Danio rerio: one gene and its partner. The protein of the gene in region 2 purifies or fractionates together with the protein of the main gene of each other region. This does not show direct contact. Links are inferred from orthologs where the notes say so. Each region holds a gene or a part of one and is shown on either strand. Other genes may lie near its edges.

Evidence for each region.
Region 1: the proteins of stk11 (region 2) and cops4 purify together in Homo sapiens (affinity purification with mass spectrometry; 4 studies listed by BioGRID and IntAct, with this or other methods). This does not show direct contact. The link is inferred for Danio rerio from reciprocal best matches to the Homo sapiens genes STK11 and COPS4.

Annotation. Positions count from the first base shown.
Region 1 is NC_133185.1:12,012,602-12,017,183, reverse strand, and holds the start of cops4 (COP9 signalosome complex subunit 4), read right to left. Parts: upstream 2,810-4,582; 5' UTR 2,742-2,809; coding exon 2,668-2,741; exon of another isoform or gene 691-2,667; intron 448-690; exon of another isoform or gene 418-447; coding exon 338-417; intron 1-337. UniProt on the Homo sapiens protein: Component of the COP9 signalosome complex (CSN), a complex involved in various cellular and developmental processes.
Region 2 is NC_133177.1:63,068,419-63,072,861, reverse strand, and holds the start of stk11 (serine/threonine-protein kinase STK11), read right to left. Parts: upstream 3,010-4,443; 5' UTR 2,851-3,009; intron 1-2,850. UniProt on the Homo sapiens protein: Tumor suppressor serine/threonine-protein kinase that controls the activity of AMP-activated protein kinase (AMPK) family members, thereby playing a role in various processes such as cell metabolism, cell polarity, apoptosis and DNA damage response.

The DNA of each region.
Region 1 (4,582 bases), on a different chromosome or scaffold from region 2:
AGACCAGTCAGAGATCGATTGTTGATAGCCACATCTCCGTTTTCAGCATTTCAGTCCATTTATTGTAAATTAAACAAAACCTTCAAATCTCAACAGAGATTTACATAATGAACATGCAGGCAGCAAGTCAGCATCATCTGTGTGATACAGTCCTGTAAATATGGACCAAAAATTCTGAGAAATAATATGAGATCCTTGCTAAAACTATTCTAAGCCATGAGAACGAGCAGTTCTGAAATCAAAATGGGTCTAACCAGTAACAGCAAGGTGTAATTAGTAAAGAGGCAAGTGAATGTTTATAATCAGAATATTAGTACTTGAATACTAGTATACTTACTCGCTTCAACAAATGCTTTCAGTGCTTCAAGTTGTTCTGCATCAGTAAACTGTAGAGCCTTTTCTAATATTTGACGATATCTGTGAAAACAGGGAGGACAAAGATTATAGCTACAAAAATTATACTATACTTGTGTTGACATTACTGGATGATAATGATGACTGGATTTATATTGTACTGTATAAAGTGATAAATATATCAAATGCAGCTTTAAATGCTTGTTAAGGTGAATTCTTAGTGGCTGTCAATCAACAGTTCTACATCCCCATTCACAATGTTGCCACGGTCATATGACCTAAACTTGAACTTCATCTTCAGAATATATGTAAATCATCATTATTTAAGCAAACCACAGTAACCACAAATCAACTATGGATTTTGACACCAATTTAAATCTATTCCTGGTGTTTATTTGTGGTTAAGTCTTGTTTATACAAATGCTAATCATCAGTGTACCAAAAAAATGCTTAATACACTTTTACTATAATATAGTCATGATCAATTTCATATGGGCTGTGTGACTTGTGTCGCTCCACTACTATTCACAAATCCTCTCCTGTGGCCTAGTGAGACAGAAAAGTTTTGATTCGACACACACCTCAGAATCTCAGCATACAAAGCATGTTATTCTGGTCCTTTTTGCATAGGGGACAGCGGGGATGAAAGTAACATTTTGCATATAAACCTAACTCTAAAAAGATAATGTTTTTAGCGGAAATATATATTTTGCTGAGGTTACCAACTCATAAGAGTGATCAATCAAAATCAGGTGTTATTTTGTATAATGTAGAACAACACCAATATAACGTCACTTTACACAAAAGTTGCACAGCTACTTTTGACAGGAACGAAAAAAAACTCACAGGTGAGTCAAAAGTAACACAACAATATTTGCTAGATTTACCGGCTTAATCGTGTTTATTTTAAATATATCTGACCAGTGGTGTAAAGTAACAAATCACCAATACTCAAATTACTGTGAGTAACTTTTCTCAGAAATTGTAATTTACCAAGTAATTTAAAAAATATGTACTTTTGATTTTTCAGTACTCATTCCACCACTGTATCTGACTTTGACCTTGTTAATGTTAACTGCAGGCATATTTTGTCCTTTATTTTTGCAAAAAAAATATTAAACTGCACCTTAATTTTTAATTTTACTTCCATAAAATGTTTCAAAAGCAATCAAACAATGCAAAATGTTATATTTTCTTAAAATTTTTGAATATTTTATTATTATTATTGGCAATCTGCATTAATCTTATAAAACAGTCAAGAGTCAAAACACTGAAAACTAATATGGAAGTGAAAAAGTGCAGAGGGACATAAATAACAGTGTTACTTTCATCCCTACAGTAAACCTAATTTACCTTTTAAACTGCAAAACTCAGACATTTCAAAATCAAGGAATTGTTATTGCACTAAAGAACCTGCAGATTGATCATTACGGTGATGCATGAAAAGAGAAATACAACAAACCACTACAATAATTTACATTTTGCACTTTCAAACAGAAATTTAGAGCTCATTGCAGGACACGGCCCCAAAATTGTATATTTAGCAGTTTCATTAAGGGTTGCATGCTGCTAAATGTGTTGTTATAGCCTGTAAATCAAATGTTTTCAGGGCTTCGAGAAAATCACTTTGTTACTTTTGTCCCACGTTTCTTTTATTCCTGCTCTCCCCTACTGTTTTTTTTTAAATACAATGAACTATTACTGTCTATTCAACTTTTTCTTTTCGCCTAATATAAAAGTCTACATATTCAGACACACATTTTAATAATGCTGAGGGTAAGGCTTGTTCATCCTATAAAATTTGATTGGACAAAAACGTAGACACGCCCCTAAATGCAAGATGAGTCATCAGTATTTTGGTTTTAAAAAACAAACGGTTTTTTTTCAAATGTCATTGTCAAATGACAACTATATTGTCAACTTTTAGGTCTACGTTTGGATATACAATATCTCAAACCAAAATTACTGAACCAAACGATTTGATTTAATGGGGTCTTAAATTCTGTAGGCTAACTGTATTTGCATTAACGTACTCCTCCTATCGTTTTCAAATTATATTAGTCAATTCACAAAGACATTTGCATACAAATATGCTAATGATTCTAATAGCTTTTACTATTTATAACTTGTATGATTGTTATTGATGTAGGCATGTTGACAGGTAGATCCTCAGTATTACACACGCTTGCTAATGTTAGCCTGTAGTCATATCATTTGCAGTATCACAGACCTTTATATAGAAAATCACACAATAACACCCAAATGCAAAAGACATACAGTAACGATATTAGCAAATGACTTGAAACCACATACTTCCCAGCTAGATCTTTATGAGAGCCACTAGAGTTCATCAGCTGTGCGAGCTCCTGCCTCACGCCGGACGCCATTTTCCTCCGCACTTAAACAGCGAAACCTGCGGGCCAGCAGAGGGCGCCACACAACACAGAGAACCGACGACAACTGAACAACACACTAGAGGGCGGTAAAGTCTATGTGGGATACAGCTGCGGATAGCATCATTTTTGTGACACTAATTAATATTTTACATAACTGTGAGATGGGCATTAATAAAATACAATTCAATGGGTAATTTAATAAATATTATGAGTAATAATTGGTATAATGACAGTTTTTTACATTATAATGGTATAATTACTGTTTTACATAACTTTATTGATTGAGTTTAGGGTTAGGGGGGATAGGCATTAATAAAATACAGTTCAATGGGTAATTTGATAAATATTATGAATAATGCTTGATATAATTATTGTTTTTACATTACTTTGATGTTTGTATTTAGGGTTAGGTAGGTGTTGACATTAATAAAATACAATTTAATTGGTAATTTAATAAATATTATGAGTAATACTTGGTATAATTACTGTTTCACATAACTTTATTGGTTGGGTTTAGGGTTAGATAGGGGTAGACGTTAATAAAATACAGTTTAATGGGTAATTTAATGAATAATATGGGTAATACGTGGTGTTTTACCATCACTTTGATGCTTGAGTTTAGGAATGGGGTAGGTGTTAATAAAATACAATTTAACTGGGGATTTTAATAAATAATTCTTGTTAATCAAATCTTGTGCATCAAATGTGTGTGTGTGTGTGTGTGTGTGTGTGTGTGTGTGTGTGTGTGTGTGTGTGCAACATTTTATTTATTATTATTATTAATGTGAACATAAATGTGAACATAAATTAATTTATTATATCAATTTGTTTGTCAAAATTTTATTTAATTAATTTTAATTGTAAATGTCTAAAATTCATCAATACAAATAGGTGCAACACACCCATTGGGGGGTTTAGACATAATATTAGTAGTAATATTAATTGAATAATGATGAATTAATAATTGATAAAATAAATTACACCTAGTTAATATTCTAAAGACAACATAAAAACTGAACCTTTAGTAACTGAACCTCTAAGAAATCTTTCTCAGACATCTTCGTGTTTTTAGTTTCAGATATTTTATTATTACTCTGAGCTCAACAGCCTCCTGATGAGATTTTATATATAGTAAGGATCAATAAAGATCTGCCTCCTTCACTCTTCCCTGCAGTAACTCTATAATATAATTAATTAATTCATTAATTTTTTTTCGGCTTAGTCCCTTCATTCATCAGGAGTTGCCACAGCGGAATGAACTGCCAACTTACCAAGCATATGTTTTACACAGCTGATGCCCTGTCAGCTGCAACCCAGTTCTGGCAAATATCTAAACACACTCGTTCACACTCATACACTATAGCCACACATATGTAATATAATATAATATAATATAATATAATATAATATAATATAATATAATATAATATAATATAATATAATATAATATAATATAATATAATATAATATAAAGGTGTCACGGGGGCACAGTTGACAGCACAATAGCCTTACAGCAAGTAGGTTGCTGGTTCGAGCCTTGGCTGGGTCAGTTGACATTTTTTGTGTGGAGTTTACATGTTCTCTCCGTGTTGGCGTGGGTTTTTTTTCGGGTGCTCCAGTTTCCCCCACAGTCCAAATACGTTCTGTGGGTGAATTGGTCGTGGTGTATGGGTGTGACTGCAAGAGTGTGTGGGTGTTTCCCAGTGTTGGGTTGCGGCTAAAGAGCATCTGCTGCGTAAAACATATGCTGGATAAGTTGGCGATTCATTCCGCTGTGGCCACCTTAGATTAATAAAACGTGAATGAATAATAAAAAATAAATGAATTCAATT
Region 2 (4,443 bases):
GTGTCGGCGACGCGTCAGCGAGCCTCGTTGATGCGTTGTTCAGTAGTTCACACATAAAGAGCGGCGAGCGCCGAGCACCCGCAGATTTCTTCCCGATCACAGCCCGATCTGTCGGCGAGCTCGTTAACTTCCAAATCGGGCTCAAATCAGGCTTAAAATCCTCTAGTGTGAACTAGGCTTAAGCCGCTGCACTGTTCAGCTCTTCAGCATGCTGGATGTTGGTTTAAAAGAGATTTGTGTTTTAGATGCTTACTGAATCATATACTGACCAGTAACTTGTGGTGTGGATGCTACTTTTCTACTGTTGCCCTAAAAAAACTCAATAAAAGTCATGAAAAACAAAACCTACAAATACCTTAGGACTGATATAACACAATGTTTTAGCGGCTTTATACCTTGAATTTTTAAAACCGCGGTAAACCTTAAAACCGGTTATTGTCCCATGCCTAGTCCCTAATTAATTAGGACTCGCCACAGCAGAATGAACCGCCAACTATTCCAGCACATGTTTTACACAGCAGATCCACGCCAACCTGGAGAGACCATGCAAACTCCACACAGAAACACCAACTGACCCAGCCGGGCTTGCTGTGTGGCCACAGTGCTAACCACTGAGCCACCGTGTCACCCATATATATATATATATATATATATATATATATATATATATATATATATATATATATATATATATATATATATATATATATATATATATATATATATATATATTTTTTTTTTTTTTTTTTTTTTCTTGCTTTGTAGTTGTTTTGCTTTCTTTAGAATAGGCAGCTTTAAAAGGAACAGCAAGCAAGACTGACCCCCACAGATACATTGACAGCCTTCATGAATGAAATGCACACTTTTCCACCATCTGGCAACCCGGAGTGCTGAAATATAACTTGTAAAACTGGCTGTGGGGCAGAGTTACAGAGAAAGCAAAGACAGATATTCTGACACTGAAAGCACATTCTCAAAGCAGAAGAACTGACTGCTGAATTATTTCTCTGAAAAACATGCTCATTTAGCATGTTTCTTAAATATCTGCAAACATACTATGGTATTTCTATGCTTTAGAAGAGTCAAACACATACAGTTGAATTCAGAATTATTCGCCCCCTTTTTATTTTTTACCTAATTTCTGTTTAACAGAGAGCAGATTTTTTTCAGCACATTTCTAATCATAATAGTGTTAATAACTCATCTCTAATAACTGATTTATTTTCTCTTTGTCATGATGACAGTAAATAATATTAGACTAGATATTCTTCAAGACACTTCTATACAGCTTAAAGTGACATGTAAAGGCTTCACTAGGGTAATTAGGGTAAAGTTAGGGTAATTAGGCAAGTCATTGTATAATGACGGTTTGTTCGAAACAAAATAAATAGCTTAAAGGGGCTAATAATATTGACCTTAAAATGTTTTTAAAAAAATTAAAAACTGCTTTTATTCTAGCCGAAATAAAACAAATCACACTTTCTCCAGAAGAACAAATATTATCAGACATACTGTGAACATTTCCTCAATCTGTTCAACATAATTTGTGAAATATTTCCATTTCCAAATCCAAGGTTGGCCGAATAATTCTAGCTTCAACTGTACAGCATTTTGAATATGTTTTTGGCTTGTCACAGTGTGGATTGCACTTTTATTTGTTGTATTTACTTATTTTGTTCTTGTGCAAACAAATTAAATTTAAATTACCAGTAAAAAACCCCAGTACTGGGAAACACCCAGACCCACTCATTCACACACACAAAAACTCATACACTACGGCCAATTTAGTTGATCAGTTCCCCTATAGCGCATGTGTTTGGACTGTGGGGGAAACCAGAGCAAACCCACTCCAACACATGGAGAACATGCAAACTCCACACAGAAACACCAACTGACCCAGCCGAGACTCCAGCAGTCACACATTGCTTGTATAACATATTTGCATAAGCTTTTCATTGAGATATAAAATTGTTGATTGAGATTGAAAATAATGATCAAAATTACATTTGTATTTTGCATGAGCTCTTCATAAGTTCCAGCATTTAAATATACTGGGGGAAAGTTAGTTTCACACTTCTGGACTTTCTCCTTAATAATATAATCTCAGAAAAGTTTTCTTTGCAAATCCTAAAAAAGGACAATCACATTTTCAGCTGATGAAAAACAAGATTGCTGACAGTCAGTTAAATAGTGCTAATGTTGATTTGAGGTCATAATTATGTCTGATTTCAGACCCAATATTCAAAGCATCATGGTAAACAATATAGGGAGCGTGTCACAACTAGTCACTGAACAAACGTGCTAATATTAAACAAACTTTAGTTCCATTTTAAATATTACAGCTCCTTTATTCTTTATTTTAGTTCTCTTCAATGTTTTAATACGATCTAGACTGAGATATAGAAGCGACACAGGAATGAAGATCAGTCTAATGAGTCTGGATATCAATAAAAGACTGCAAAAGAGGATTTTACAATCTCACACACACACACTAACACAAACTACACACAAGAAAATAGAACACACACTGAGAGAAAACACAACACAACGACACACACAGAATACACAAACACAGATCTCTATCAAACGGTCGAGAACTGAGGAGAACCGGAGATCAGATGAGCTGATTGATTAATTGATTGATTATTGATCTGATCACCTGACCATCAACTGCGGATCATCGATCAGCCGCGATGTGTGTGCGTATGTATACATGTAGATATGCGTGTGTGTTTGTGTGTATGAGTGTTTGTGTCGATGGAAGGAAAGTGTTTGTCGGCGGCGGTTAGCGGCGGCTAATGCACACATACACACACACACGGACACAGACAGAGACACGCGCACACACACTGACCTGACGCTGGCCTCCTCCGCTCGGCTCACTGACGGACACACAGTCGTTCTTCTCCTTCTTTTTCGCTCTTTATTCCTCTGTTTTCTCGCTTCTGTTCTTCACAGCTGCTGCTGCTTCAAGGCTGCCGCCATCTTGTTTACCTCCCTCCCCTCGCTGCAGTACGCATGCGCACATCCGTGAACGCGCTCGAGGCCTCCAGACGGAAACGCGCGCAGGAAAGTTCCAACTTGAAGATGATCATATCCATTCATTTATTTATTTTCTTTTCGGCTTAGTCCCTTTATAAGTCTGGCGTCGCCACTGTGGAATGAACCACCAACTCATCCAGAATATGTTTAACGTAGCGGATGCCCTTCCAGCTGCAACCCAGTACTGGGAATATGACCATAATCAAAAATATCCAAATATGTTTATCAAAGATTATTATTATGTGTGGTGTGCTGGAGCACATCAGAGGGGATTTACGGCGAATCTAAATGGCATTCTTATATAATTCTTGGTAATTTACACCTTTATTATGGATTTATTGTCTATTATCTGGTTATTGTCAGGCTAAATACTTGCATACGAGGAATAAATATTAAATATATTACATGTTATTATTATTATTATTATATTATTATTATATAAAAGTGGCAAATACAGTAAGAGTGAATTTTGTAATTCTTACACTTTTTAAATATTTTAATAAATAATCTGTATTTGTGCTGTATTAAATAATCTGTACAGGCTGTATAAATTGCAATATTCTTGTTAGCACACTAACGAGTATTTGTTAATGCAGTATTTTAAATGGCAAAATGAGTTGAGTTGATGTTTATTTATTGATTTATTTGTAGAAATGTTATAGTTTTAAATATATAGCTGAAAGCAGAAGTTTACATACACTGTATAAAAGGGCAAATGACCATTTAAAAAAAGTCAGATGTTAATGTGACTAAACTTTTTCTCTTTTAGGTAAGTGAGGATGATCACATGTGTTTCTGTTCTGCTTGATAGCAGAATAATTAGAGATATATGTTGAGGAATTGTTCTAACTCTTGTTGAAAGTCAAGTTTACACACAATCAGATTATTCTGCCTCTGGAAAAGCTCAGATGATGATGTCAGGGTTTTGGAAGTTTCTGATTGGCTAATTGACAACATTTGAGTTAATGTGAGGCACAACTGTAGAATAGTGTTGAAGGAAAAGCTCAAACACACTGCTTCCTTCTGTGACAACATGAGAAAATCAACAAGCCACAATCAACAACAAAGCCAGATTTCCATTAGCTGAATGACACTGGGAACAGACTAATGTGTGGAGACATGTCCTGTGCTCTGATGGAGCTAAGATTGAACTGTTTGGCCATAATGAGCAGTGTTACATCTGGAGGACAAAGGGGAAACACACAAGCCTAGAACACCATCCCAACTGTGCAGTATGGGGGCGGCAGCATCATGTTGTGGGGCTGTTCTGCTGCAGGAGGGACTGGTCCACTTCACAGCATAGATGGCATCATGAAGACAGAACATCATGGAGAAATACTGAAGCAACATCTCAACACATCAGCCAGGACATTACAACTCAGCCACAAATGGCTCTTCCAG